Linked DNA regions of Coturnix japonica. The protein of the gene in region 4 interacts with the protein of the main gene of each other region in a biochemical or structural test. Links are inferred from orthologs where the notes say so. Each region holds a gene or a part of one and is shown on either strand. Other genes may lie near its edges. The genes, in order: TRIM63, PRKN, RNF111, UBE2N, RNF4, AURKA and RNF168.

Region 1 (4,073 bases), on a different chromosome or scaffold from region 4:
CCCCGAAGGCCACGCCCACTGACGCACCGCATTCTGATTGGCTGCGTGTATGTAGGCATTGGTGCTTATCTATTTCTTCTTTATCTATTTCCTCTTTATCTCTTTTTTATTTATCTCTTTTTTCGTTGCTTGGGGTGGGACAGCAAGCGAGCCTAGCTCCTCTGCTTCACTTTATCTGCGTGTCAGCGGCGCAGCTTTGCAATGACAGCCCCTTACCTATCCCTCTATTCGCCTATTTATTTACCCATCTATTTCTTCACCCATTTATTCACCTGCCCCATCATTGGCAGCGTCTCTGGGCTCCCCCGCTGTCCTCAATGGCAGCAGGGAGCAGATGGAGGTTGTGTTTACAGCGCTCGGGTTGGTTGGTTGGCAGCCGTGCCTGCATTGCTCGGAGCCAACTGGGGGTTGAGGAGGAGCCATTGGGGGCTGGGAAACCGAATGGGGCGTTCCAGCTCATCCTCTTGTGGGAATCCCCTTCATAAAGTCCAGCAGTGATGAGTTCAGTGGGCAGGGCCAGCAATGGGACAGGTGTGCATCCGGTCCCCCCCCCATTCCCTCCCTTACGGTGTGTATCTCAATGTACAAACCTCCTTGGAAGGTCTCCCAGTGCCAAAAAGGGGACAATGTTGCAAGATGTGCTTGGCTGGCTTCTGTGCTGTCACTTGGTTGACATGTGAGAGCCTTCCTGGAAGGAGCGTCTGGAACAGTCACAGGCTGCCCATGTCTGGGGGGTTCATCTGGGACAATATTAGAGCCCCTATAGCGTGCACCCACTGTGCTGTGTCCCTATGCATAAGTGTACTCATACAGCTGTGCACCCACGTATCCATGTGGTCATGCACCCATCTATCTGTGCACCCCTGTACCCTTTGTGCACCCAAGTAACCTCATTTACCCCTGTACTTGCATACTCATGCATCAATGTGCACCCATGCACCTGTGCACTCCTACAGCCCTCTATACAGATACCCCTGCTCCCATGTACCCATGCACTTGTGCCTCTGTGTGCCCATGGCTTTGTGCACCCACCACCCACTTACCGCAGCATCTCAGCACCCATCCCTTTGGCCACTTGCAGCACCTCCTACCCATTGGGCTCTATGGGGAACAGAGAAGCCACCTCACCCAACCCCGTCCTGTGACCCACAGCAGAGGTGTTATAATTATCCTCTCCCCTGCAGCTGCCAATATTTACAGGTCTCCCTGTGCACCGGCGCTGGGATTTGGAAGAACACCGTGTTTACTGGTGTGCCAGCTGACAGCCAGGCAATGTGATCAGGGCGGCTCCCAGCTGGGAGCAGTCTGGAGGGGCCACACTCCTGTTTTCCTGTTGATGTTTCTGGGTCAGGTTTTGCAAACAAGTGCAGGGCACAGCCGGGCATGTGGGATGTGCAGCATGGTGCTGCTGTGCTTGGGAACCCCCTTGCAGGCTGCTATATGGATTTTTGGGGTGCAGAGAAGCATGAGGAAGAGAGGGTGCACGCACCAAGCACATTTGCTGTATCCCCCAGGTGCTGCAGTTCAGCTAAAAAGCCATCAGCTGCCCTGCAGGTGCCTTTCACCCCACAAGAAGTTGCATTTTGAGGGTGCAAAGGGCAATGCAAACCCCCAGCCCGGTGCTTTTTCATCCTGACTCCCCAGCAGCATCGACCCCCCCCCAGTCTCTCGGTGTTCCCCAGCAGGGCCATACGGACAGCATGTCCCCAGCATGTCCCCAGCTTGTTTACTGCGGCCGCGCGCCTCGATTGTCACCGCCATGTGACAGCTGATACCTTCGGACAGCCGAGCCGACTCCACGTGATTGCTGGGCTATGGATAAAAGCTGCACGAGGGGCTCCGGCTCCAGAACTGAGATTGCTCTGAGGAGGAGCAGCAGTGCCGTACCAATGGATTTCCAGCCCAGCATCCTACGTGATGGCAGCCCCATGGAGAGCCTGGAGAAGCAGCTACTGTGCCCCATCTGCCTGGAGATGTTCAGCAAGCCTGTGGTGATCCTGCCCTGCCAGCATAACCTCTGCCGCAAGTGTGCCAACGACATCTTCCAGGTGAGATGAGGACCCCCCTGGACGTTGCCCTGCTCTGGGATGCTCTGCAGGGGCACCTGGGGACACCCCGATGTCCTTGTCCCCCTCCAGGCTGCCAACCCATACTGGCAGAGCCGGGGCAGCAGCATCATCTCAGGGGGCCGGTTCCGCTGCCCTACGTGTCGCCATGAGGTCCTGCTGGACCGCCACGGTGTCTACGGGCTGCAGAGGAACCTGCTGGTGGAGAACATCATCGACATCTACAAGCAGGAGTTCTCCAGGTTGGTCCTATGGGGACACAGGGGCAGCCACATCATTTTTGGGGGGGCGAGGAACCAGGGAGGCTGGCTTGGTGCTCCCCTCCCCACCTTTCCCTAACCCAAATCTCCACCTCACAATTGAGATCTCCATTCTCAACTCGAATCTTCACCCCCAACACAAATCTCCATCTCCCAGCCCAAACCTCCCTCCCAGCCTGTGCTGTTCTAGTCTGCGGTTGCTCTGTGGGGACAGGGGGACCCTAAGGGGGTGGCAGAAGAACGAATCCAGCCCCCATCCTGGCACCCTGCAGCTTTGGCTTTATGTTGAAGATAAGGGGTGTGAGGGACAAATCCAGGCTCTGCTTGTGACAGCAGGGAATGATAAGGGACAGGGGGACAGCCTGAGGGGTCTGACAGCATTACTTAGTGGCAGAGGTGCAGCAGGAGGGGGACAAACAGGGGGGTGATGTTTTTTAAAGGACCCAGACATGTGAGTTCATCTCCCCATTCTCCTGCCCCACTGTAAATATTGTTCCAGCTCCATGGGAACAGGGATGGAAGGCACGTGGCAGGTGGCAGCAGCCCCCGGGGGGGAGCTGGCGAACCCCCCAGTGGTGACTCAATGGCTGTCACCCCCCTGAGCTCCCTGGAGCCCCTGCCCGGGTCACGCGTTGGATGATAATAATAAATGCCAGCAGCACTCAGCTAAAATTAGGAGCTTGTGTAGCATCCCTGGAGCGTGGCCCCAACTGCTGCCATGCCTGATGACACACTGCTACAAACTGGGCTTACTGGGCATGCAGGAGGATAAGGCCAGGATCCGGTTATGGGGCAGTAGTTCTGCATTGGGTGGGGAGGTCACTGCTGTGGGGACGTCACCATGATGGGGACATGACGTCAATATGGTGGGGATGTCATTGTGCTGGGGATGTCATTGTGGTTGGGCTGCTCTCTCCAGCAGGCCGCTCAAGAAGGGGGAGCACCCCATGTGCAAGGATCATGAGGATGAGAGGATCAACATCTACTGCGTCACCTGCGAGGTCCCCACCTGCTCCATGTGCAAGGTCTTCGGTGCTCACAAGGACTGCGAAGTCGCCCCTCTGCAGAGCATCTTCCAGGGCCAGAAGGTGCAACATGGGGGGACATGGGGCCACAGTGGGGAATGGCCAGATCTGGGCGATGTGCTGAGCTAGGGTGGCTGCAAATAGCATTGGGATGCCTCATGGGGTATTAATAGGCAGCAGGCTGACTTTGACCAGGAGACAGGCCTATATTTAGTGCGATGCCCCCCCCTCTCAGCCTGTGGGATGGGGGCTGGATCGTGATACCCTGGCAGCACCCATCTGTGCCCTGCAGGGGTTAAAGCTGCTTCTGTCCATCTGTCCCTTCCCAGAGCGAGCTGAACAACTGCATTTCCATGCTAGTAGCGGGGAACGACCGCATCCAGACCATCATTTCCCAGCTGGAAGATTCCTGCCGCAGCACTGAGGTGAGGGACATGGAAACATCCCCCCAGAAACCAAGTGCTGGGGGAGGCAGCCCCTGAGCAGAGGACACAGGGGCTGGAAGGACACATCTTTGTCCCCATAGGAGAACAGCGAGGCGGCCAAGCAAGAGCTCTGCTCACGTTTTGATGCGTTTATGGCTCTGCTGGAGGAGAAGAAGACGGAGCTACTGGGACGCATCACCCGTGAGCAGGAGGACAAGACAGGCTTTGTGCAGGGCCTCATCCACAAGTACAAGGAGCAGCTGGAGAAGTCCAGCCGGCTGGTGGAGACGGCCATCC
Region 2 (3,500 bases), on a different chromosome or scaffold from region 4:
ATCACCACAGAAGAACAACAGGAAAAAAGTACACAATATCACAGGGACGACTCAATATATAATCTCCTATCCAGGCTGGACAGGCCTCCTTCTTCATACTCAAACTTCTCTGGAGAAGTGAGAGGAAGCGTTCACAGCCTCGTGAACATCGACATAGAAGTCTACACAAAGATAAGACTCTCCGGTTTTTCGCGAGAAAGCACTCATACTCTCTCTGTTTGTATCGAATGTTACACATTAAATAACTAATATATAATTGTGTTAATTTGTATTTCAGAATATCATACATTAGAATAAAATAGTTTTCCTTCCTATAACGATTGTCCAGCTAGTTTCTAATCCCACTCCACTTTTCCCCCTCACATTCGGCCCGCAGGAGGAGTGGAGTGGCTTCCCCTGTCACGGGCATAGGTAAATCTAACTAACCCGTGACAGCCACAATTAATTATTTACTAGGATTTTGGTTTTGTGTTGCAGAATTGTGACCTGGTCCAGCAAAGCATCGTTCATATTGTTCAGAATCCACAGAAGAATAGTGATAAGGATGAGACTGAAGACAACAATACTGGAGGCATTCTAAAAACGTTGGAAAGAGTACCTGAAAGTCTAACTCGCATAGATCTCAGTTCCAGCATCCTCCCGTCGCTGTCTGCAGGGTTGGCTGTTATTCTGGATACTAAAGAACCCAACATTTCCCCTCCGTCTGAAAAGTCAGGTAAATCAGTTATTTGGTACACAGAGTCATAGAATCATTTAGAAGGGACTCTTAAAAGTCATCTAGTCCAGCTTTCCTGCAGTGAAGAGGGACATATACAGCTAGATCAAGATGCTTAGAGCCTGGTCCAGCCTAACTTTGGATGTCTCCAGAGACAGGGTATTTTAATGCTTAAACAAAAAAATTATGTTTCTTTATTAGAGTGAGCAATTCTATACCACAGACAAAAAGCATAACGTATTGTTTCTTTTAGTTTTCAAACAAAAAATGCAACTAAGAGATGCTAAACAGCTGACACATCTTCTAATAACATAATTTTGCTTTATGGATAAAGTCAATGATTTCTTTTCTTAGTCTTTTCTCTAAGAAGTTATCATCAACAATAAAAGCACCAAAAATACACAAAAATGCAGAAGTCTATTGGCAAGCAAAAATAATCCCTCTAAAATTTCCATTACTGAAGCTTCCTTTACTAGGATTCTTGGAAGCTTTTACACTGGAAATATGTTTAATAGTCTGTTGTAATGTTTTCATACCCATGCATTTTATAAAAAACATTTCTATACAATGGGCTTCTTATTTATAGAAACATAGTTGGCACAAAAGATGATGATGATTCATACTGTGGATTTGAGTAGTTCTTCACCCACCAAATTATTACTGAGAATACTTTTTCTTCATCATAAGAAATTGTCTGAGGCACAAATTACATCACAGTCAAATGGATTGTTGTGTAAGGTGCACGGTTGGACTAGATGATCTTATTGGTCCTTTCCAACCTTGTGATTATATAAATCTTTCTATGGTAATAATTAAAATGGTTCTGTAGAGATGTGTACAAAAGACAGAAATACAAGAATGTTTTAGATAATACTTCTCAGATTAACCCTCTCCTACAGACACAGTCTAACTAACCCTCATTGAATGCTGTGTTTGTCTCCAAGGAAGAAAAATCGTTTTGTGGAATACCAGACTCTGAGTGGTGATTTGTGGTAATGGTCTACCAAAGATGTATTTTTAGAATGATTGATATGGATGATAGTAGCAAGCACAGAGGTCCAGGGTACAGAAGGGAGTTTGTAAATATGACACAGACATACTTCTGTAACTAACCTGACCACAAACATAATCGTGCTTAACTGAACAGCTACTAAACTGTTAGAATAACTTTATAGAAAATTTCTTAAGTAACTCATGCCAAAAAGAAATGGAAGGGTCAGAGAAGTGTTCCACAACTGACTTGATCAAACTCTCACTGCCAGCTGATGATGAATGAGTGCAGTTTAGGAGCAAATTAGTGCCCAGCTTAATGATCCACATCTCTCATTCTCCATGAATAATGAGATAAGTGGGGTGCATGCCAATTTAAATCTGTTAAGGTAGGGACAGAGTTTCAGGCTGGGCCTTCTAAGTCAAGGCAATGGTGCTAGATCCTTATTGCTTTTTCAGTACTGTGCATGATATTTACATGAAATTAATAGTAGCGTTTGACTTTACAGAATAGTTTATACACATGTAAGGCATTTTAAAATGTGTTACACAGTGCATTTTTCCATAGTCTGCAAATTCTGTGAGGTCTGCAGATGGATAGATAGGTATGTTCTGTTGCAGCAAATCTTTTCACAGCAGAAGGACAACTGAGGAAAAAATACTGAGGAGTATATGTGGTCTAGTTTTATCTGTGGTTAAAAGAGATTTTTCTTTTTATTTTTTTGTCGTAAGGGAAAAAACAGTTTCCTGTAATGACTGATAGGTTCTGCCCGCAAGGATGTTAGTATGTTTCTTTTTAAAAGCTTGTTGTCTTCTCCTTGGTTTGCTATGACTTTCACAATGAATACTTGACCTTGCCACTGCTCAGCTCTACTACTTCTGTTCAATATGGAGGATTTTTATGTCTTTGTTGTTTCTGGAAGTTGAGGTGGGTTAATGTGCAGTCACATTATTCACTGAGATGAGTACTGGTCTGGGTTATAAATGATCCAGCAAGAACAAAAAAAATAAATAAAATATGAACCCAGAGATGATATTTTTTTAGTCAACTCTTCTGTGTAGTAACATTTGCCTTGACACAGTTGTGATGAGTAAACAATAGTGGGAATGAGTAGCTGAAGGATACATATGTCATTACTTCTGTTTTAAATACCTTTAAAGCCATTCTGCTAGAAGGTGGATGGTTGTGATTAACCTAAATGAAAAACCTATGCAGTAAAACCAAAAATTATTATTTTCCGTGTGTGAAATCACACACAATGAACAGGGGGCAATTTAAACCTACAATTTAGAGGCAGATGATTAATTGATTACTATTTTGTCTAACATGCTAATCAGCTATTCTGTGGTTGCAGAGATAACCACTTCTCTTTCAGTAGACCAAGTTATTTCTGCTTGTTAACATAAAATGGTGACCCTGTGCCCCTTAACCAGCTTTTGTTTTATTTTGCCCGCCTTTGAATTATAAGGAAAATGGATTGTGGTTAACTTTTGCATGGCAAAAGATTCTCTTAGAAGCTTCTCTTATAAGCTTTTGCATCATTTGAGTGGAAGGATATTATTTTTGAAGTGCTGAATTGGAGATAAAAATTTACCAGATAATCCAGGAGAGAAATCATTATTTTGTACTGCTGTTATGCATGTACACTTATGCAATGTACATTTACAGTATGAATTGGCACATTTGACTAGATAAATGCCCTTATGGCCTGCCATCCTGTCTCAACTAAGGGTCGTTATTTGCTCCTTGCAAAAGAGCACAAACGGACATTTTCTCAGCTCATCCCCCTCCTTA
Region 3 (3,500 bases), on a different chromosome or scaffold from region 4:
AAAATGGCTTGCTAGAGAAGTGAAAGGAATACAGGCAGAATAGAAGTGTTGACTGAACTCCATGGTGATTTGTGCAGTGGGTTTTGTTTGTTTTTGTTTTAGTCATTCCCTTTTCTTCACTGCTGAGTTACTGAAGTTTGAGTATGTTGTTTTTCCAAATTGGAAAATGGAGCTATTTGGTGTGTATAGGAGAGTCGGTGGTAAATATCCTGCAGTGAAATATCACTTTCCTAATTAAAGATAGTAATCTCTTAGCTTAAACTTCAAAGCATCATTGATTTGAGCATTCGGATTGGTATGACTAAATTAAGTAGAATGTCTGCAGGAAAAAAAAAATCACCCATTTCCTTAGGAATGGTACAGGCGTAGGATTTCCTTTTCTCAGGCTGCATTTCACTTGAGCTTTGTTAAATGTTACACAAAGCTGTGTTTATTCTTAGAGGGGACAAGGGAAGTAATATTCACAAGATAAATGTCCAAAGCAATCTCTGGACCTTAAAAGTTCAGAAATGATCCTCTGAAAACACTGCCACAAATTAATACTCAGAAGGACTTAATTCTTACAGGATTTTATCATCTTTGCTCTTCTATCACCATTCATAGATCTGCTGTTTCAGACTGCATAGGGGTAGTGTAGAATTCAGAGTGTCTTATATTTCTCTAACAAAGTAGTAACATTAGGTATAGCTACTGCATGACTGATGCTGTAGGGTTTCACAGTTTGTTGTTTTTTTTGTTAATAAAATACCAGTACTTAGTTCATAGGATTACATGTTAGACACTTTCCATTAAGTTATCTGGTAAAGTCTAAAATAGTGCTTCTAAATACCCTGCCATGCCACATTCACTAGACTTGTATTTCAGCATAACCAAAATGCTTTTTTGTTATTAAAAAAGGGGGAAAAAATGAAATAGCTTCTGAAACATTGAGGAGAAAAAATAGTAAATGTAAGGTTTGAGTCAGTACTTAAGGCGATGTGTTTTTAAGGTCTCGTTCAACTCTTGGACATTCAAGATCCCAGTGGGGACAAAGCTCTAGTACTCATGCTGCACGGCCTCAAGAACAGCGGAACCGCAGCAGGATTTCCACAGTCATACAGCCACTGAGACAGAACGCTGCAGAGGTAGTGGACCTTACGGTGGATGAAGATGGTAAGTCACATTGGTCTCTGAAGTCTCTTCCTTTTTTAGGAGCGAGATGATCAGTGGAGCATTAACACTTTAACTCCCAGTGTGCTACATGATGATATGATGCAGGATATCGGTAACCAAAAGTTATAAAACCATGACAAATGGAATAGGATAGAATTCTATTAACCCTGTTGTACCATTTAGCGGAAAAACTTTGTGTAATAGTAGTCCATAAAGAACTGAGCTAGTAAAGCACGCTCTATGCTTCTGAAATTGTAATGTTCTGTGGTTTCCTACCATTAAAATCCACTAAGTTTGGCATTCAAGCTTAGTGATGATGATAATTGTCAGAGCAATTTCCAGGCATTATCAAAAGCTGTGGAAGAAGTCTGAATCTGATGTGGTGGTGGTGGTTGTTTAGAAGGGAGTATGTATTAACTTTTAAAAGGAACTTTCATTTGTGACAGTTCCCTCTCTGAGTGTGTCAGAAGCCAGTGTCTTGCAACACGTATTTTTACTAGAAAAAAAGTGATCATCTTACTACGTCTTCTATTCTTAGGCATGTCATTACTCTGTCAGTAATAAGAAATTTCAAATATAGTCAAAAGCAGATTTTTTGAAACTGAATTTGAATTGCGCCTCAAAATATCTTTTAAAAAAAATGTAGCCTGTGCACAGACGTGTGGTCGAGAGCAGCATTTATCAAGTAGTGTATTTTCCCTCATCCTGTAAAATGTATTGACTGCTTAATGTGTATTGAGACTAGAAAAAAAGTTTATCTTGCTGGTGCCTGTAATACAGTGTGTCAAGAATGGCTGAAGCTTATAAGGCAGTTCAGTTAGTTTAGATGTTTTACAACCTTGCTTAGTTATCCAAAAGCTTTCCTGTGCTTTGTAGGCATTGGAAGGTGGTAAGGAGTCATAGAATAACGTAATCATAGAGTAGTTTGCCTGTTATTTATGAAAGACTTCAGGAAATATGTGAGCATATGTGCACACACAAGTTAAACAATTAACTTTTCGATTTTATACTCATTTTTATATTCTGACTTTCTCAGCACCTGGCAAGACTAGCATGTATTGTATGAATTTTAAACCTACAGATATCAATTTAAAAAAATCTTAACAACTTTGAAAGTTTACAGAACTTGAAAACTTTTCTTTTTCCTGCCAGAGCCAACAGTTGTGCCAACCACGTCAGCTAGAGTGGAGCCGCAGGTCGTGAGTTCTGCTTCCAGTAACAGTTCTAGTACGTCTACCTCAGAGCAGGCCTCTGATGCAGCTCCAAACGTCTCCACTAGCCAGCCCTCTGCAGCACCAGAGACAACTTCTAGTCTTCCCAATAGCAGCACTGCTGGTACTTCAGCTGGAGGTACAGAATAAGAGAGCTTTCTAAACTGGTTTATTACCTGCCAGGTACAAGGGCAGTAGAGGAGGTTAAACAGATAGCGGTGAAAAGTTAAGAGTGACTGTGAAAAGCGGAGAGGAAAAGAATCTGGAAAAGATGACTGATTTCATAGAAACACAGGATGTCAGCAGTTAGAAGGTACCTTGAAAGATCACCTAGTCCTGTCCTTCTGCTGGAGCAGGAACACCTAGATTGGGTCCAGGAATGCGTCCAGGCAGGTTTTGAATGTCTTCAGAGAAGGAGACCCCACAACCTGTCTGGGCACCCCATTCCAGTGTGACATTAATCTCACCATGAAGATATTTTTTCTCACATTTATGTGGAACCTTTTGTATTCCAGTCTGCACACATTGCCCCCTTGTCCTGTCATTGGATGTCACTGAGAAGAGCCTGGCTCCATCCTCCTGACACACATCCTTTACATATTTATAAACATTAATGAGGTCACCCCTCAGTCTCCTCCAAGCTACTCCCTTAATCCTCTTTGTGGGTTCTGGACTCTCTCAAGCAGTTCCTTCTTCTTGAACTGAGGGACCTAGAATGGGACACAGTATTCCAGATGTGGTCTAACCAAGGCAGTGTAGAGGGAGAGGAGAACCTTCTAGACCTACTGACTGCAGCCCTTCTAATGCACCACAGGATGCTATTGGCCTTCTTGGCCACAGGGGTGCAGTGCTGGCTTGTGGTCATCCTGCTCTCCACCAGGACCCCCCAGGTCACTTTCCTTTACCCTGCTCCTCCGACAGGTCATTCCCCAACCTATACTGGTATTTGGAATTTTTCTTTCCCAGATACAAGACTCTATGCTTGCCTTGTTAAATTTCATTAAATGTCCCCCTGTCCAACTCTCCAGACTGTCTAGGTCTTGCTGGATGGCAGCACAGCCTTCTGGCATGTCAGCCACTCCTCCCAGTTTTGTGTCATCAGCAAACTTGCTGACAGTGCACTCTATTCCCTCATCC
Region 4 (4,148 bases):
TATTTCACAAGCTCAATAATGAATGCAAATGAACTCACCCTTCACCGAGGCAAGATGAGGGAATGTTATTGATGAACTCTTTGAGATCCGATTCTGCAAATGTTTGATGCATTTTTTCTTTCCACATGTCAATACATTGATTTCATCGATTTCACAGAAAGTTACACCCATAATGTTAGGAGAACAATTTAGCGTTTAAAGGGCCAAACGTGTGTACAAGAATGCACAGGGCTGGTGTTTTTCATGAGTTGATATGAAAAGTTTGTAATTACTGGTGTATTCAACAGCTGAGGAGATCAAGTTGTGTAGAACAACTATGTACCTTTTAGTAGCCTTCTCAAAAGATAGAGAAGGAAAATTTGGTAAGTTTTTGGGAAGCAATGTGGGGAGGATGAAGATTTTGGCTTAGGGGAAGCTGAGGACAGGCCTCATGGCAGCTACAGCTCCCCATGGGGAGTGGAGGTGAAGTGCTGAGCTCTGCTCTATGGGGGGCAGTGACAGGCCCCAAGGGAACAGCATGGAACTGTATCAGGGGAGGGTCTGGCTGGGAGTTAGGACGTTCTTTCACTGTGTGGTGGGCACTGGCACAAGAACATTTGGACTATATTTGCAGACACAGGGTTTGAATTTTGGGTAGTCCTTTGTTGAGCCAGGAGCTGGAGTTGATTCTTGTGGGTCCCTTCTGACTCAGGCTATTCGGTTTCCTTGATTATAAGGAGGGAGACACGGCACTTCTGACATGCTTCATGTTATTGTAACCACCATGGGTTGATAAGAATGTTTCTATCTTAGGACACAAATCAAGCTTGCAGTATTTCTGACAGGAGCATGTTGGCAATTACACAGCCCAGATTTGCCAGTGTTAGAACTGTCCATTCTACCAGTGTGTGAAAACGGCGTAGCTGATCTAAATGTCCTGTTTGTGAACCAGGACTAAAGCAATTGACAGAGAATTGTTCGTGCAGGGTCTTGTTCCTGGGAAACTGCTTCATCTTTCTGTGCTTTCATTTCCCATCTGCTCAGCAACGGTGCTGGATGCTACTGTTGCTACGTAGCTGTAGTAGGGAGCCACAGGATGCTGCGGAGGTAACACCATCCATGTAAAACACCACAACATCCATGTAAAACACCTCATCTTTACAACATTTCCCTTCCTGTCAAGGAGGAAGAGACGTGACTAACGAGCCTTTAGTATCACAAAGGTGACATGTCCTGAGACATCTCTGTGACTGTTCGCTGACACACGTTGTACCACGCTGATGAAATCCGAGCTCTGTCAGCGCGGAGCTCCGGCCTCACAGCGGGACTCGGGGCAGGACTCGCCCCTTAATGGCAGCGGGCGCGGCCTACATTGCCCGACGTGCCGCGCCGAGGGCGGCGCCACCGGAAGAGCGGAGCGGGAGACTTCCGGCTGTGTGCGAGCCCCGAGCGGAGGCGAGCCCGCGATCTTGCACCCCGACGAGACAAGATGGCCGGGCTGCCCCGCAGGATCATCAAGGTAACCACGCGTGCCGCCCCGCGGGGCCGCGAGGCACCGACCCGCGGCTCGCTCTCGCGGCGGGCAGGGTCGGGCCTGGCGCCGCTTCCGGTGCGCGGGAGCTGTGGCCGCGCGGGGCAGGGCCGCTCCCAGGCCTCCCGCATCCTGCGGAGCCGCCGCCGGGCCCGGCCAACGCGGGGTTGAATGAGAGCGGGGCGCCGCGCCGGGCCCGCCCGTCCCCGCCGCTCCCTGCTCGGCCCGGCGGCGTGATCGGGTGGCGGGGGAGCCGCCGGGGCGTCCCGGTGTGCTGTGGGCGGCTGGCGACAGCGAGGCCGTGCCCGTCGCGGTGCCCGCCCGGGCGGCGTCCCGCGGCCCTTCGGGGCTCGGGCGGCTCCGGGCGCAGTGTAAGGCTGCTACGTGCGCTCCGAGCTGCCGGCTCTGATGTGCCTCGAGCTGTGTCTGCCAGGCTTCGCTTTTGGCTTCGGCCACTTCCAGCTACACCTCGGAGGGAACTGCAGGCTGGCTCAAACGCATGGAGTCACTCGGCACAGGCGCAGGGAGCTGCGTTGCAATGCAGTTCGTCTTGCTGATGATTTGGTCCTGTAGCCGATGTGAATGCTTCCTGGGTTGGCATCCTCGATCCTACTCGGTTTGCAGTATGTGGTTTGCAATCTCAAATCGGTGCTCACCGACTGCTCTTGTTGAAGTTACTAAACGATTCCAGTAAGATTCATTAGTTGGTTAGTGGTAGCACTTGTTTCATTTCCACCTGAATGAATGTCACAACTTGCAATAATGCTGCAAAGCTCTTCTTGGTTGAGCTTGCAAAGTTGGCAACCATTGTAAAACACAAGAACACAATGTGTTAACTAGCTGATGCAAAAAATAAAGATATATATATATAAGTCAGTATATCTATATCTACCTATCTATATAGCAGATGTTAGAGGAGATGGGATAAAAATTCAACAAGATTTTTTTTGTGTATGAAAACAGCTGAACTGTGACTGATGCTCAGAAATACAGGCAAAATAACGTGTCAATCTTACAGAAGTGAGTTTGGTCGCCCTGTTGCCTTGGTGCGCAGCATACAGTGGTGAATATATTTCAGGTCTGAGGAAATCTCGTGATATAGCAGAACTGGTGTTTATTGTAGAGATGTGGTGAGAGATGAGTTGTGAAGCTGATATGTCCGTGTTAGATTTTGCTGTAGGTTTTGATAGTTTTCTGGCCAAGCTAGTCCATACATTTCATTCTTAGCACCCTTGTTTCTTCTTTCTTAGCTTCTTAGGGAAAACCTAGAGCAATGCATGAAGCTCGTTTCCAAGATAGAGGATGGTATGAGAATGTTGCTCTTGTCCCTGGGGATAGACATCTGAATACCCCAAGCAGAGACCTAAATGGTCTAGATTTTCTCCAGCAGAGTCTTGCTTGGAATATTTCAGTGTTGTCTGTTGCAGGGTGGTGCATATTCTGGGCTGTCTATGTCCAGGTATGCACTGTAGGATGTCTGCAGACAGTTCAGGGCCTTTGAGTCTTGAAATGGGTGACCGTTTCTGTAGCTCCTGTGCTGTGCATACGTGAGGTCATCAGCGCTATGTATGGTCTAAGACTTGAACCTGACTAGTATTGCAGTCTTGAATGTGTAAGGTAATATTTGAAAGTATCACAGCTGCAGAGTTGAAGATCTAGGAACGAGCTTCATGAGTCTTGAATGAGGGCTGTTTTGATGCTTGCTACTGATCTTAATGTTGGAGTTAAATATCCTATTGCTGCTTGTCGTAGTTGGAGGGGAGTAAATGAACTCAGTGAGAATTTGAAAGATGAGGAAAGGAAATAGAAGAGAGAAAGATAGATGACAGAAAAGGGCTGTAGAAGGTTGAAATAATTCTAGTAACAAGTTGCAAATTTGATAACTAAATGCTTTGGGTTACTGCTAGGAGTAGTAGTAGGAGGGAAGGAGAAGACCTTTTCCCTTTGATCCGCGTGTGGCCTTTGTGTGGTCATCTGAGGGAAGCACAGCGATAGCTGTTGGGGTCTAGCAGTGTGTGTGCACCGTAGCAGAACCCAGCTAAGGGCTCAAAATGCAGTTGGCATTCCTCATCTTGATGGACTGCTGGCAGATGGCCTGGCTCTCAGGTTGACTAGCGGCCTGTGCTCTCCAGCCTGCTTCTCAGCTCTGTGCAGACTGTCATCCAGCCCAGCAGGAGAGCTCTGGCTTTCCTTGTCTCAGCAGAGAGCTCTATTTATATTTTCAGTACTTCTCCACGCTCATTTAAAAGGTGTCAGTATAGATATTGCAAAGCATTTTTTACAGGAGATAAAGGATTACTCCTGGCTCGCCGTCCTCAGATTACTTGGAAGGACAGGCTTTAAACAAGTGGGGTGAATGATCTGTAAGCTCAGGAGATGACTCGCTTTAGAAGTATGGCTTATGGTGTTAGCACATCACAGATGTTGAGTAGAAAATGTGATAGATGTGAATCCTTAAATCAGATGTATAATTGGAACTGGAGAAACACTGTGAACTATTTTGTTACTGCACATATTTAAGGAGTGAATCTTTGCAAAGTACCCAGTAAGCAAACCCAGAAATCTTCATTTTCAAATGTTTGTTAAACCAATTATTTCCTGTGTTGCAATGTCATGTTGCTCCAGTAGAGTAAGGAAT
Region 5 (3,975 bases), on a different chromosome or scaffold from region 4:
AAGGCTCACTTGTTTCTTAGTTAAACTTACTCTGGCGTTTAGCAGCAAATCAGAAAGATATAAGGAGTCCCAATTAAGCTTTATCTGAAAAAACAACCTATTATTTGAAGGTAATGTTTGTGTGGGGGCAGAAATAACCAGGATTCATGCTGTAAGAAGCCATCCTTAGAGAACAAAAATTACAGATAAGCAGTCCTCTATTCTCCAAACCACAGCTAGATCAAAATGTGGGAGCTAAGCAGCTCGAAATGTGGAGAACAGAAATGGCTGTGTAGAAAGGCTCCAAGAAACACCACTGTTCACAATGGCAGGGGTTGAGCCCTGCTCAGCAGGCAGCCAGCTGCTGGATGACCCAGCCCCACTGTCCCTGCAGGGCTGAGCTCTCTGCTCACAGCTCTGGCTATGAAAGGTGCCAGCTGTGGCTCATTGAACAGCCCCATATCTGCACAACTGCAACCCAGTGAGTTCCTAACACTTCTGGGTACAAACACGGGCACACACCTGAGCACTGCTGAACCGACTCTGACTCACACACTTCACTGCCTGTACTCAATGCAGGAAGCCCAAAAGACGCTCCCTGCACACAGAACTCAGCCACACAACCCTTCTCAGTTCCATTCCATTCTGTATCGAGGCGCAGTGTGTGCACCTCATCCTACTGCTTACAGGTTGAGATTCACCTCCCAATGAATGAAGCTTTCCCACCACCTCTCAGCTTAACCCAGAAAGCCAAGCTACAACTTCCTCAGCTCTCCTCTGATATAGAGCTGGAAAAATACTTTGAGAATAAAAGACTGGGGAATACCGACATACGTATCTGAGGATCACAAGGAATTCATCTTCATACAAGCTTTAAAATTACCAACAGCTGGAACTGTTTTCATTGGAGTCTCTTACGGCAACCTGATGTATCTATGCTTAATACAGAACCTACACAAAACCCCAACGCTCCTGCCCCATTCTAGTCTGCTAAGGGCTTAAATCTGAACTTCTCTGGGAGCTTCTTTCAAGAGGAAAGCTGAGGATGGATATCCATGGGGAGCCCACTGCTGTAAAACCCAGAGAGGGAAAATCCAGCAGCATCCACTGAGGGAAAGCAGACTGCTGGAGCTTGTTACTGCTGTGGATGACGCCTCCTGACCTGGCAATGTTTCTGTCTGTATAAGAACAAACCTCTTCTGTGTGGCTGCAGATTTCTACAGTAGGTTCCTGGCTTACTCAGGAAGCTTCCCCCAGTGGTAACTATCCATACCACAAAGAGGAGGAAAAATGAAGCCAAGCTTACTTTCTTTGGTACAACGCAGATCAAGTTACCATTACATAAGAATAGAATTAACAGCTACAAATCCTGCTCGTTTAGGCACCTTTTTACTGATTAGCACCTAAAGGCTTTCAAAGCCCCAGGACCACTCACAGGCCCAGACACCCACATCAACCCATAAGGGCTGTGAGATCCCCTCCAGCACACACTGCTCAACCAGCACCCAACAGCACGAGCAGGCACTGGGGGTACAACCCCAAACCAGAAGCATCCAAAGCTCCAGCTGCAGCCATTAACAAAGTCATCTATTATGTCTGTAACATAATCAGTTCCAGATTCTAGAATGAGGATTTGTCAGAGCGGGACAGGTTGCGCCTTCAAATGTGCTTCCTCACCTCCTCTCTTATTAAGCCCTCTCAGTGCACTCCCAACAGCCCATAGAAAAAAATAAGCTCTGTGGTTCTCCTCGCAGTGGTGCTCAGGGCCAGGCCCAGAGGCATAATCTGGAGCCTGAGAGCTCCCCTTCCCACCAGGCAGCAAAAAAACCCTTCTTCCCTATATCTTATCTAAATCTTTATTCATGTCTGACTCATGTCCAGCTCTCCATCCTCCGTTACCCCCAGGTCCTTTTGGGCAGGGTGGTGCTCCAAAAGCTGCCTGGACCTCCAGCTCTATCAGGGCTGAGCCAGAGGACACTGCGAACCTCAGCCGTGTGTCTCCGGTGTCTTCAGAGCCAGCCCTGCTTTTCCTCCGGATGCAATACACAAAGTTCACCAATAGCAGACACCAATGGATTCCATCTCCCCATCTCGGCCTCGCAGTGCCCCAGGAGCTCGGCATGAGGAGAAGCAGCCAAGCCCCCCGGCCCAGCTGCAGCCCGGGCACCACGCACACACTGACCATGAGACCACAAAGCACAGCCACGGGAACGCAGCCTGAGCTGCCATTTGGCCGCCTGACCCACTTTGTAGCGCCAACCAAACCCGACGCTGTCGGCTCATTACACGAGCTCTGTGCAGCTCCCTCGCAGGGTTTTCCCGTCGTTAGGCCGCAGCTCGCGTTCAACAAGGCCCAGACACACGGACGGACGCGGCCCGGTTCGGGAGGAGCCGCCCCGCAGCGCCGTGTCACGGCGCAGGGCCCCGCTCCCATCGTCGGGCGGCAGCAGCTCATGCAGCACTGGGAGGCCGGGCCCGAGGCCTCAGGCTCGGCTGGGAGGGAACGAAGCTGCCGATCCGCGGACAAGGCCGCACCGCTCCGCACACACACAGGCCCACTCCGGCCTGGACCCGGCCGCCCTGCCCCCATCGCGGCCTGCAGCCGCCCCAGCTTAACGCGGCCTTCACCCGCCCCCCCTCACCCTGAGCCCGGCTCCGCTCAGCGGCACGACCCGCCCGGCCCCGCTCACCTTCCGCCGTCGGAGCGGTAACGGCACAGCGCGGCGCTCCCCCGCCCTCCCTCCATTGGCTGCACCGGCGGTGCGGGGAATGGCGGCCGCACGTCACGGGGGTGGATCCATCACGGCCCCGCCTCCATCCCGGCCCGTGCCCGCCGGGACATGTAGTTCAGCTGGAAGGATGTGGAAATGATCTCGGCAGCTAGATGGCAACAAAGAATTCCACCAGAAACAAGGGAGAATGTAATGCTGGGAGAGCATTAACAGCAGCTGCACGGCTCCAATGTCAGCGGCGTTTTCCTTCCATTTAAATATTTGCCATCGCCTTAATTAAACACTTAGTAACTGGCATCACGTTCAAATAGAAATACATTACGTCGTCTCACTGCTCTGCAGATTCTAATGCAGATTTATATCCTCCTTGGCCAGGTGCCTAGAATAAGTCTCATGATTTAAGGGCTGTTTTACAGTATAGAAATTGTCATAGAGGGCAAATGATCTTCGAGGTGAGTAGCAGAATTCTGTCTTCTGGAAGCAGAAAAGAGAAAAGAAGCTAAAGAGACCCAGCAGTGTTATGTGCTCCTTCCACTGTTTAAACACTGAGCAGACTGCAAACAGAGGGATGGTCTCTTGGGGTGCTGAATGCAGCCTGTGGGCTGTCCTGTCATCTCAACCTTCCAAATGATTTCCTTGCACCCTCTAAAACCAGTATTGAAGCTGGTGATCTTGTTACACGCAGTTACTGTCACGTCAGAAGATGTGTTAGGAACCTGGGCCAAACATGCTGCTGAAAAAATGCTGATGTAAACAAGTACTGCCTTTTTTCTGCCCCCATTTTTATTCTTCAGGAAAATGAACACAGCAACTCATGGCACAGTGACAGCAGTAATATGGATCTCAGTGTTCTTACCCAGACACTGGCCATCTCGGTTTCTTACAGCTTTTCATTCTAATAGGAAGAAAATGTAACGTTACAGCTACAAAATTAAAATTCCAGTATAAAAAATTAACACGTTTCCATTCTACCATGTCTGAATGACCCAAATTTTGCTACTAAAATGGTACAGATCAAATAAAGATTAAAATTCAACCTTGTGATACACAGTTGCTCTGGGAGACTTCCAGCAGGCCTGGGTTTGTTCCAAGTGCACTTTATTTTACTTCGGAGCGCAGGATACACGATGTGGCTCCGCTTTTTGCTGCCACGTACGCAGCCATTTTCTCGGCTGTTTCTCTGGCCATTAAACCGTATTGAAGAGACTTGAACCGCCTTCCCCGACTCTCTTCCAGTTCTTTCCAACGGTTCCACTGCAAGGAG
Region 6 (4,240 bases), on a different chromosome or scaffold from region 4:
CGGAGAACGACACGAGGCCGCCGGTACCTACCGACCCTTCCTTCTGCCTCCCTCGCTCTGCCCCTAAAATGGCGACCGGAGCTCTGAGCGCATCGATCGGCGGCGGCGGTAAAGGAGGAGGCGGCGGCGGCGGCCGAGACCGAAGAACGCTCCTCCGCGAGGGCTGCTGCATCGAGCGCCCGCACATCGATTGGAGCCGACTCTTAGGGGAGAGAACGGCGGCGTCACGTCACCGGTGACGCGTTAAGGACGCGACGGGCCGCTCTAACAGGACCCCTGCCTTGTTAAAGGACCCCCCGCCCGGTGGGGAAGGGGCGGGCTGCAGAGCGGAGCCCAGCGGGGATCCCGGGATCCAACGCCCCCTCCACCGTGGCTCGGACCCGGTTGCAGCCCGTGGGGTGACGTGTCGGGCAGGGCACAGCCTCGAGCAGGCCCAGGCGGCCCGTAGACACACAGAATGACCCGGGTTGGAAGGGACCTCAAGGATCACGTAGTTCCAACCCCCCTGCCTGGCAGGGCCACCAAACATACACCTTTACTAGATCAGGTTGCCCAGTACCGCCCCGTGCTGCCCATCGGAGCGTAGAGCTGCTATGAGCACCGCAGCTGGGGGCTGCGAGTCTGTGTTTGGGCTACAATACCCGCACGGTGCTGCCGGACACCGCAACACCTGCCATGGGGCACCACGGCACACAGGCCTCACGAGTGTTTAGGGCCGCCAGCTCAGCCAGCTCAGCCCCTTCCATGTCCCACCGCCACCCAACCCACAGCCCCGTGCTACTCACGTCAGCCTCCAGAAACGGCAGCCGTAGCGGCCGCGGGTCGAGCAGCGGAGCTGCCATGCTCCCCATACTCCCCATGCCCCGCGGCAGCTGCCGTCGGTCACACGCTGCAGCCACGCGACGACCGGACATCTTCTTTTTCCCTATGGTGTCCCGCTTGTCGACACCAACACACCGGGACCGCCCTCGAGCCGGGTCGTTAAGGACGCGGAGCCGCTGATAAGTTGCCTTCAATACCTTCAATCGCTTCTTCAGGCAGCGGGTCCCTCAGTGCTGTGAGACAGAGCAGCACCACGAGCCGCTCCGCAATGCACGAGCAGCACCGGGCGCTGTGCAGCCAACAGCCGGGCGTCCCCTCGTGCTGAGCTGGGTTGGTGCCCCCTTAAGGCTCGTTAAGGGCACGTGGAGCAGCGCCGTGCGAAGCTGAGGCCTGATGCTCCTCCTGCTGCTGCCCGTCGCACCTCAGCACACAATGGCCCCCAGCTCCCACTCGGCTTCACGCGAGGTGGCAGCGCCGCGTCTCCCTCAGCCCCAGGTGACGCTGAGGAGGATCGAGGTGTGAGCCCGGCTGGATGCAGCACTAACCTGGAGCCCTTCACCCCCGAGGCCTCGTTGAGCGGGAGTTGTAGCGCTGCCACAGGTGGGTGGGCTGGACGTAACGCGATTTGCGTAACGAGAGACCGCGGCCGGGCTGAGACTTACGGAGAGAAAGTGTGTGAGCTCGATCCACGCACTTGGAGTACGGAAGAAACAAGCGGCGGACAGACGGTACGTAAAGTACGTATGTAACGTAAACGCCGCCCAAAGGGTGGGCGGGTCGGGACGACGCGGGTACGCAGCGGGCCGCCGTTGCGCATGCGCACCGCAAGCTCACGGCGACGAGTCTAGGCCTCGCGACGAGCGGGGAGTCAGGAGAGCCAATGGGAAGGCAGGTAGACTGAAAAGCGGCCAATCGGAGGGCGCGGATGCCAGGAGAGGAGCCAATGGCGAGGGGGCGGAATTTTAAAGGCTATTTAAGGGAGGGAGGTTTGAATTCAAACAGTTGTAGCGGCCGCGGGCCGAGGTGAGTGTGGGGACGGCTGGGCCGGGTCGGGCCTCGCGTGGTGCTGTGCTGTGGCCTTACCTGCGGCCTTACCTGCCTCGAGGGCGGCCCAGCCGGCGTGTGGTGTGGGTACGGCCCGGCCGTTACGGAGCTGGGGCGGGCAGGCCTAGGGGGAGGCCTAAAGTGAGGCCTAGGGGGCAAAGGGAGAGCAGCACGTCCGAGGAGTGGCGCTGCTTGGAGGCTCAGCCCTGTTCTCTGTTTCATTCTCCATAGGTGAAAGTGTATCTTGCTTTTCTCGGGCACTATGGACAAGAAGATAAAAGAGAACTGTCCTGGGAACCCTTCTCGTGTTATTAAGGTGAGAGGCTTATCGAGTTGATGGGGGTGACTGAGCTTCTGGCTGCTGTTATTAACATCCAATTATTTAATTGGGAAGTCCTAGTAGTGCAGTTTTTATCCCTAATCAACTAATAAGACAGCAAAAACATACAGGCTGTGACTTGCAAAGGACGTGCTGCCTGAATGTTGTATATCTTTGTGCATGCCTTAAGATTACATATCTTTGTATACAGAAGCACGGACATTCTTTTCTTCTAATTTAAGTATAAACAGGTCCTTGTCAGGTTTTAAAGTAGTAGAAGCATGGTTTAAAATCAGCTTTCAATGCATTGGATCAAAAAAAAAAGGAGAATATAAGTCTTCCTAGAGAGTGAAGGCATCAGTAACAGATCATTAGCATTTGAATTTAATTCTAGAGCAACTAAGCATTACTTAAATATTAGTTTAAATTTCCTTCCTCGACTGAAAGAAAAGGATTAAAAGTAGGTAAAGGAACTATCCTAAACTTGGCTTTGTTCTGATGAACTCCTGTAGTAGCGCAAGGCATCTTAAAATACACATCACTCAAGGGAACAGTGACTCAAAGCATTGTATGTGAACAGGATTCCTATAGTAAAGGCTGGTCTGAGCTTTCCACTGTTATCTACACTTTGGTGGCTCTGTGTCTAGTTATGAATAAGTATGTTGTTAATAAGACAGTAGTTTTCTACAAGTCAATTCAATTCTTAAAAAATAAGATCAGAGTAATTTTAACATCTTCTTTTAATATACTGGTTTTTTTTCTCCTCCCTATCTTTTTCTGCAACCTGTACCTAACACTGTTGTACAGGGACATAAAGGTTATAGTGTTCTATTCTATTACTAATGTGCAGTTGTTGTTTTTTGAAGGCAGCGAATCCAGTTGTGGATGGCCCAAAACGTGTCCCTGTGTCTCAGAGTTCTGCCCAGAGCCAGCCACTGAACAGTGGAGTTCAACTGCAACGTGTTCTGTGTCCTGCAAATTTTGCCCAGCGAGTTCCTGTACAATCACAAAAAAATTCTTCACTGTCAAACCAAAAACTGTCTAACAATCAGACAACACAGCAGCCCCGACCAAAACTTCCAGTCCAGCCAACTGCTGGGCCTCAGGTTCCAAGCAAGAGCAGTGAAAAACCTCAACAAGCTCCTGGACCTGGTAATTCCAAAGATGATACATTTCTGTGTTTGTGACACTCAGGAGAATTCAAACAAGAGTGCAGGACAGAAAATGTAAAGCTCACACTAACGACATGTTGGACAGTCCTGTAGAAGAATAGATGGTTGCACCCAGAAAGAGAAAAGCAGCACATACTTCATCTTAGATATTACTGTACTGTCCTTGTTGCTAGAGTTAAGGATTTAGAGGAGCTAATAGAAGTGTTCCTCCAGTCTTGAAAATTTACAGATGCTCATTAGTCAACTTTGAATACATGCAATTGGTATCCCTGCATCATGTTTTTTTCCAGTGTTCATGGTAATCTGATACACAAGAACACTGTATGAGCAGGAGGGAGAAGACTTCTTAATGTTTTCATGAGTTTCAAAAAAGCATTTGAAGTTACACTTTGATAAAGTAGCTCTAACTGCTTTGCTGCTTTGCCACTGGTAAGCTATGCTAGGTTTTAAATACAGAGGATAGACAGTAAATTGCTGTAGATACTACCCAGACTTATTCCTTGTGAATGTTTTGCATTCGCTGGTGGTTTATAGTTGTTCTATTTGATTGTATACAGCAAAGAGTTCTGAAGCAGACAGTGTCTCTAAACAGAAAAGTGAAGAGCCTACTAAAAAGAAAAAGGAAGACACTAAAAAGTAAGTTGCGGGCCTTAAAAACTTACAGCTGTTAGTTGTGCTTTCAATGTCTAGCAGTTCATGCTACAACTGAGTTGCAGCCAAGCTGCTGCCTACTTAAGCCTCTTGATTGCTAAGAACAGTGGCCTTCATAGAGACAATGTTTATTAATGAAACTCTGGGAAGGGTTACTTTGCTTTGGTAATCTTTAGGAACAATAAATTACTTTAATCTGAAGGAAAGCTTTTGGCACAAAAAGGAGCAACTT
Region 7 (4,194 bases), on a different chromosome or scaffold from region 4:
CAGGAAGGGCTGGTAGCTGCACAAAGTGCTGACAGGAGCGTCGGTAACAGGAAAATCTGGTTTGTGCTCTGCTGTAGTTGTGCTGTAAGTGAGAGATTGGGAATGAACTTCCAGATATGGGACACTGACATAACACAGTGAACTGAGGCAACCTTACAGAGCATTATCTTCACAAAAACCACCACCATGATGAAAGAAGCCCAGTAAACCCTCCAGTAAAGCAAAGAATGGACAATGAGCACAAAGCGTTCCATTCCCTCTTCCTTTCTGGTAGACATGGCAAGCTCTCAACTGAGCAGGATTTATTTTCCTGCAGAGGCTGTATGAAGGAAGCTGAAACTCCAAAAGAAACCCCACCATATTTAGGATGTTAATGTAAGAGAGTGCAAAGATACAGTTTTTAATAAGGAAAACTACAGCAGATATCAAGCTATGAAGCAGTTGTTACTTGTTACTGCAGTGTTGTTACTGCTGTTTCACTAAGGTCCTCCCCTCATGCATTTGCTGAGCTGAAGAACCACCATAATAAAAGGGAAAACCAAAGCAGGAAAAGCCAGCAGAGCACAAAAGCCACTGAGGGCAGCTCGGTCTGTTCAGTGCAGTGTGTCACCACATGCATAAAGCACAGTGCGTTGAGGCCCAGATCCTAAACAAATGCTTGTTTCCCACTCCCCAGAGTAGAAAGCAGGCTGCAAACCTTGGAGACACGGTTCCAAGACTTGGATTCGAGCTTGCAGAAGCTGGCACAGAAGTTTGAGGTGCAGGCTGAGCTCCTGGAGAAGGAGAAGAGCCAGGATGCAGCGTGGATATCGGCGCTGGAGGACAGGTGGGCAGCAGGGAAGGGCCAGCACCAGCTGCACTGAGCCCTGCACCTGCAGGTATAAATACACACCTTCAGTGTGTATTTATACAGCCTGAATTACCATGTGCTATGGAAACAGTAAGGTTGGTTTGATTTGAAATGAATATTTGCGTGGTAAAGAGCCACACCACATCCCAGAGAGCAGGGATGGGGAATAAAGAACACGGATGTTCTGCCTCCCTTCTGCTAGTGAGGCCGGCAGGTTGCACTGTGAGCAAACTCTGTCACTTTGAGGTTACAGTCTGATATCACGAGGCGTTCTGCCTTCCAAGCGGGCACGCTGCGATCAGGTAGCGGAGCAGCTGTTGCTGAAGCACCGCTGTGGTGCGGGCAGCAGCCACAGCAGCCGTATAGAAACCTCCGATCCACACAGCCGGAAGCTGCAGCGGCTCTTCCTACTCGCTGCAGCCTCCCCGGAGCTCCCGCACGGAGCACAACGAGCCCAGCCTTCCCTCGGGGCGGAGCAGCTCGCGGCCGTGAGGGCGGAGCGCGGCCCGTGCAGGGCTGTGAGCGCCGGAACTAGGAGGTGAGCGCGGCGGGCTGTGTGTGTGGTGTGTGAGGCGGGGCGGTTTGGCGGGCTGACGGCAGCGCGGCCTGGCCCGGCGCGGAGCCGCGCACTTGGGAGCAGCGCACCCGTCGTCCCGCTGTATCAGGCCGGCCCGCAGCCTCCCGTGAGGATCCCCGCCCTTCTCCTGGACCCGCAGGCCTTCCTTCACCCCGCTCCGTGTGTGTCTGCCAGTCCCGGCCCTGCAGAGGTACATCCGCGCCGTGCTTTGGTACAGAGCCGTACAGCTCGCTGTCTCCATTTATCTGCCCTCTCTCCTGAGAAATAAAAGACTTGTTGTATTAAGGAAGAGCAGAACCACCAGAAGCCGCCTTCGAATGCCTCTGTCTCAGTGTCAGCTTCTTCTGTGGGTTATCCGGGGTCAAACTGTCACGGCCCCTCAGTCAGAACCCTCTGTCTTTATGCAATCACCTGAGGTTTCCTTTTTTGTCTTATTTGTTTCTTAGTTTTTGCAGCTTGAAAAATCATATCTTTGCCTCTTTTGCTGCAGGGGGTGTCTTCTGTTCTTACTTTCTGTTTCACCAGTTCTGGGTGAAGTGAAAAACCATTTGAAAAGCCATTTGAGGAGTGTTGGTGGCAGAAGGGCTGGGTGATCCCCGTGGTGGGAGGTACTGAATTACTGAATACATTGGTTACATCTGTGCTTATGTTTGTAAGACATCAAAAGCACTTTGACTTTTGCCTTCCGGCTTAAGCAAGGACTGTGGAAGATCCTTCTCTCTAAGGAGAAGCCTCTGATCCGTAGGGAGAATGTTGTATTTCACCTTGGCGTGGAGCTAAGCTGGACTCATTTGAAAGTTGATTCAGTAACTGTGATAAGATCCACCAAGCATGACCTTAGCTTGTAACTGAGAAAATAAACACGGGGAGACTTTCTTTACCTCATTGTCCCACGTTCCCATCTCCCTGCTGTACCTGTGGCAGCTCATAGGGGACTGCAGTAGGAATCCTTGCTTCACAGGGACTTCTGTTAAGACCTTCATCTTCCTCTGTAAGTCAAATAGTGACCAGCTCTCTTCAATACGCTGAGTTTTTTGTAATGTAGTTGGAAAACAGTTTTCTGGTGTAAAAGGAAAAAACAAAACAATAAACATCATGTTTCTTTCTGCTTTCAGGTCCTGCTGTTAATTTGTCTCATTCCTGAGCTTCAAGTCAATATGTCGAAGAAATCGGAGGCTCCTCTTTCTTTAGATGACTGCCTCTGCCAGATCTGCATGGAGGTCTTTGTGGAGCCCGTGACCCTGCCCTGCAACCACACCATCTGTAATTCTTGTTTCCAGCTGACAGTTGAAAATGCCAGTCTTTGTTGCCCTTTTTGTCGCCGTCGAGTCTCTTCTTGGGCACGATATAATGCCCGTAGGAATACTCTGATCAACTGGGAGCTCTGGGAGAAGATTCAGAAGAAATATCCAAAAGAATGTGAGCGTAGAATGAATGGACAGGATTTGGAAGAGGAAAGTAAGTAAAATGTGTCGCTTGTCCTGTGCTTTACCAAAGGGATTTTAGTATATATCTTTGGATGATGTGAAAGAAGATACGTGCATAGATGTGCAGTTCCAGAGCTGTCCTGTGAACAGGACTTGCCTTTTGTTTTCTGTAGCTTTTATCTGTTGTGTTTTGTATTATTTTACCTTGTTCCAAACTCGCTCCCGTGACAAGGTATGGAAATGTGAAAATATATTATTGCTGACTGTCATGCTCTTGCTTTTGTCGCTCACTCTTTTTTATTACCCCCTTCCTCTCCATTAGTTTTTGTCCCCCATCCACAACACCAGCTGAGCAAACCTGGGGAACTCAGACAGGAATATGAAGCCGAGGTTAGCAAGGTAAGTCTAAAAATGGATGGAAAAGTGCCGAATGCTTTGAATCTAGTTGTTTTAATTGTTCCCACAAAGAAGTGAAATGTTATTTAACAAGAAGAGGAAGGTATTTAAGAGGGCATTGCTGCTACAAGAACATGCTGCTCATTCCTGATGCATGAATTCCATTTTTATCCTATACTGAAGAGACTTTAAGAAGGTTACGTAGTCACAAAGTGGTATGTAAGAAGTTTCTATAGACTTTACATATAAGAAATGTTGAATAAGGGGGGGAAAAGCCAACCATACAGAGATGTGGAACTTATCAGCTAGAAGTAAACCTATCTCAGAAGGGGATTCCCCTCCTGGCTATGATGCTAAACTGCACTGCCACTGCTGGGATCTGGATATCATGTGGAAAGGAGAGAGGGAGGACAAAGTGTGTGCTCTTCAGCAAGAGCTAACAGCTATTGCTGACAATGGAAGGTGACAGCCTTCAGTTCAGATGCAGGGTTGACTTAAACTGTAAGAACGCTTGTTTATTCAGCTGTGTGTGTTGGCTTATGGATACATTTTCTTGTGGCAGTTTCAGTTTATGCCACCTTCAGGTATTGGTCAGGCTGTCGTACTGCAGGCTTAGTGTACCACTCAAAAGCGAGGCTGAAGAATAGACTTCTATTTAAGGCTGTGTTTTCTTTATTCAGAGGCTTGAGGGCTTGGAACTTTTGTAAACTTTTCTGATCAAGCACGTTCTGTGGGAAGTCCAGTCAGACAGCTGGAGTGATTTCATTTGAACTGTTCCTGTGGAAGGAGTGTTAGTGAAGAGATTCTGATGCAAAGCGTGGTGCTGTAGTAGCACCTTCATACCTTGAAAAACAATTCCTTCTCAGGTGGAGGCAGAAAGGCGAGCACATGAACAGGAAGAGAACAAAGCGAGTGAGGAATACATTCAAAAGCTGCTGGCAGAA

What was found.
Region 1: the proteins of UBE2N (region 4) and TRIM63 form a complex in vitro, tested with the Homo sapiens proteins (2 studies listed by BioGRID). The link is inferred for Coturnix japonica from reciprocal best matches to the Homo sapiens genes UBE2N and TRIM63.
Region 2: the proteins of UBE2N (region 4) and PRKN form a complex in vitro, tested with the Homo sapiens proteins (6 studies listed by BioGRID). The link is inferred for Coturnix japonica from reciprocal best matches to the Homo sapiens genes UBE2N and PRKN.
Region 3: the proteins of UBE2N (region 4) and RNF111 form a complex in vitro, tested with the Homo sapiens proteins (4 studies listed by BioGRID). The link is inferred for Coturnix japonica from reciprocal best matches to the Homo sapiens genes UBE2N and RNF111.
Region 5: the proteins of UBE2N (region 4) and RNF4 form a complex in vitro, tested with the Homo sapiens proteins (2 studies listed by BioGRID, with this or other methods). The link is inferred for Coturnix japonica from reciprocal best matches to the Homo sapiens genes UBE2N and RNF4.
Region 6: the proteins of UBE2N (region 4) and AURKA form a complex in vitro, tested with the Homo sapiens proteins (3 studies listed by BioGRID, with this or other methods). The link is inferred for Coturnix japonica from reciprocal best matches to the Homo sapiens genes UBE2N and AURKA.
Region 7: the proteins of UBE2N (region 4) and RNF168 form a complex in vitro, tested with the Homo sapiens proteins (2 studies listed by BioGRID). The link is inferred for Coturnix japonica from reciprocal best matches to the Homo sapiens genes UBE2N and RNF168.

The regions. Positions count from the first base shown.
Region 1 is NC_029538.1:2,860,586-2,864,658, forward strand, and holds the start of TRIM63 (E3 ubiquitin-protein ligase TRIM63), read left to right. Parts: upstream 1-1,273; 5' UTR 1,274-1,814; coding exon 1,815-2,048; intron 2,049-2,138; coding exon 2,139-2,308; intron 2,309-3,245; coding exon 3,246-3,414; intron 3,415-3,680; coding exon 3,681-3,776; intron 3,777-3,877; coding exon 3,878-4,073. UniProt on the Homo sapiens protein: E3 ubiquitin ligase. Mediates the ubiquitination and subsequent proteasomal degradation of CKM, GMEB1 and HIBADH.
Region 2 is NC_029518.1:40,203,262-40,206,761, forward strand, and holds part of PRKN (E3 ubiquitin-protein ligase parkin), read left to right. Parts: intron 1-477; coding exon 478-715; intron 716-3,500. UniProt on the Homo sapiens protein: Functions within a multiprotein E3 ubiquitin ligase complex, catalyzing the covalent attachment of ubiquitin moieties onto substrate proteins. Substrates include SYT11 and VDAC1.
Region 3 is NC_029525.1:5,847,861-5,851,360, reverse strand, and holds part of RNF111 (E3 ubiquitin-protein ligase Arkadia), read left to right. Parts: intron 1-988; coding exon 989-1,152; intron 1,153-2,304; coding exon 2,305-2,502; intron 2,503-3,500. UniProt on the Homo sapiens protein: E3 ubiquitin-protein ligase. Required for mesoderm patterning during embryonic development. Acts as an enhancer of the transcriptional responses of the SMAD2/SMAD3 effectors, which are activated downstream of BMP.
Region 4 is NC_029516.1:40,865,294-40,869,441, reverse strand, and holds the start of UBE2N (ubiquitin-conjugating enzyme E2 N), read left to right. Parts: upstream 1-1,348; 5' UTR 1,349-1,468; coding exon 1,469-1,498; intron 1,499-4,148. UniProt on the Homo sapiens protein: The UBE2V1-UBE2N and UBE2V2-UBE2N heterodimers catalyze the synthesis of non-canonical 'Lys-63'-linked polyubiquitin chains. This type of polyubiquitination does not lead to protein degradation by the proteasome.
Region 5 is NC_029519.1:74,948,416-74,952,390, forward strand, and holds the start of RNF4 (E3 ubiquitin-protein ligase RNF4), read right to left. Parts: upstream 2,801-3,975; 5' UTR 2,670-2,800; intron 1-2,669. Other genes in the region: CFAP99 (cilia- and flagella-associated protein 99), read right to left, coding at 3,810-3,975. UniProt on the Homo sapiens protein: E3 ubiquitin-protein ligase which binds polysumoylated chains covalently attached to proteins and mediates 'Lys-6'-, 'Lys-11'-, 'Lys-48'- and 'Lys-63'-linked polyubiquitination of those substrates and their subsequent targeting to the proteasome for degradation.
Region 6 is NC_029535.1:10,854,486-10,858,725, forward strand, and holds the start of AURKA (aurora kinase A), read left to right. Parts: upstream 1-1,440; 5' UTR 1,441-1,550; exon of another isoform or gene 1,551-1,559; intron 1,560-1,758; exon of another isoform or gene 1,759-1,845; intron 1,846-2,097; 5' UTR 2,098-2,128; coding exon 2,129-2,182; intron 2,183-3,051; coding exon 3,052-3,337; intron 3,338-3,914; coding exon 3,915-3,993; intron 3,994-4,240. Other genes in the region: CSTF1 (cleavage stimulation factor subunit 1), read right to left, coding at 32-202, 786-914. UniProt on the Homo sapiens protein: Mitotic serine/threonine kinase that contributes to the regulation of cell cycle progression.
Region 7 is NC_029524.1:3,586,311-3,590,504, forward strand, and holds the start of RNF168 (E3 ubiquitin-protein ligase RNF168), read left to right. Parts: upstream 1-1,394; 5' UTR 1,395-1,638; intron 1,639-1,669; exon of another isoform or gene 1,670-2,035; intron 2,036-2,051; exon of another isoform or gene 2,052-2,418; intron 2,419-2,542; 5' UTR 2,543-2,584; coding exon 2,585-2,885; intron 2,886-3,176; coding exon 3,177-3,253; intron 3,254-4,116; coding exon 4,117-4,194. UniProt on the Homo sapiens protein: E3 ubiquitin-protein ligase required for accumulation of repair proteins to sites of DNA damage. Acts with UBE2N/UBC13 to amplify the RNF8-dependent histone ubiquitination.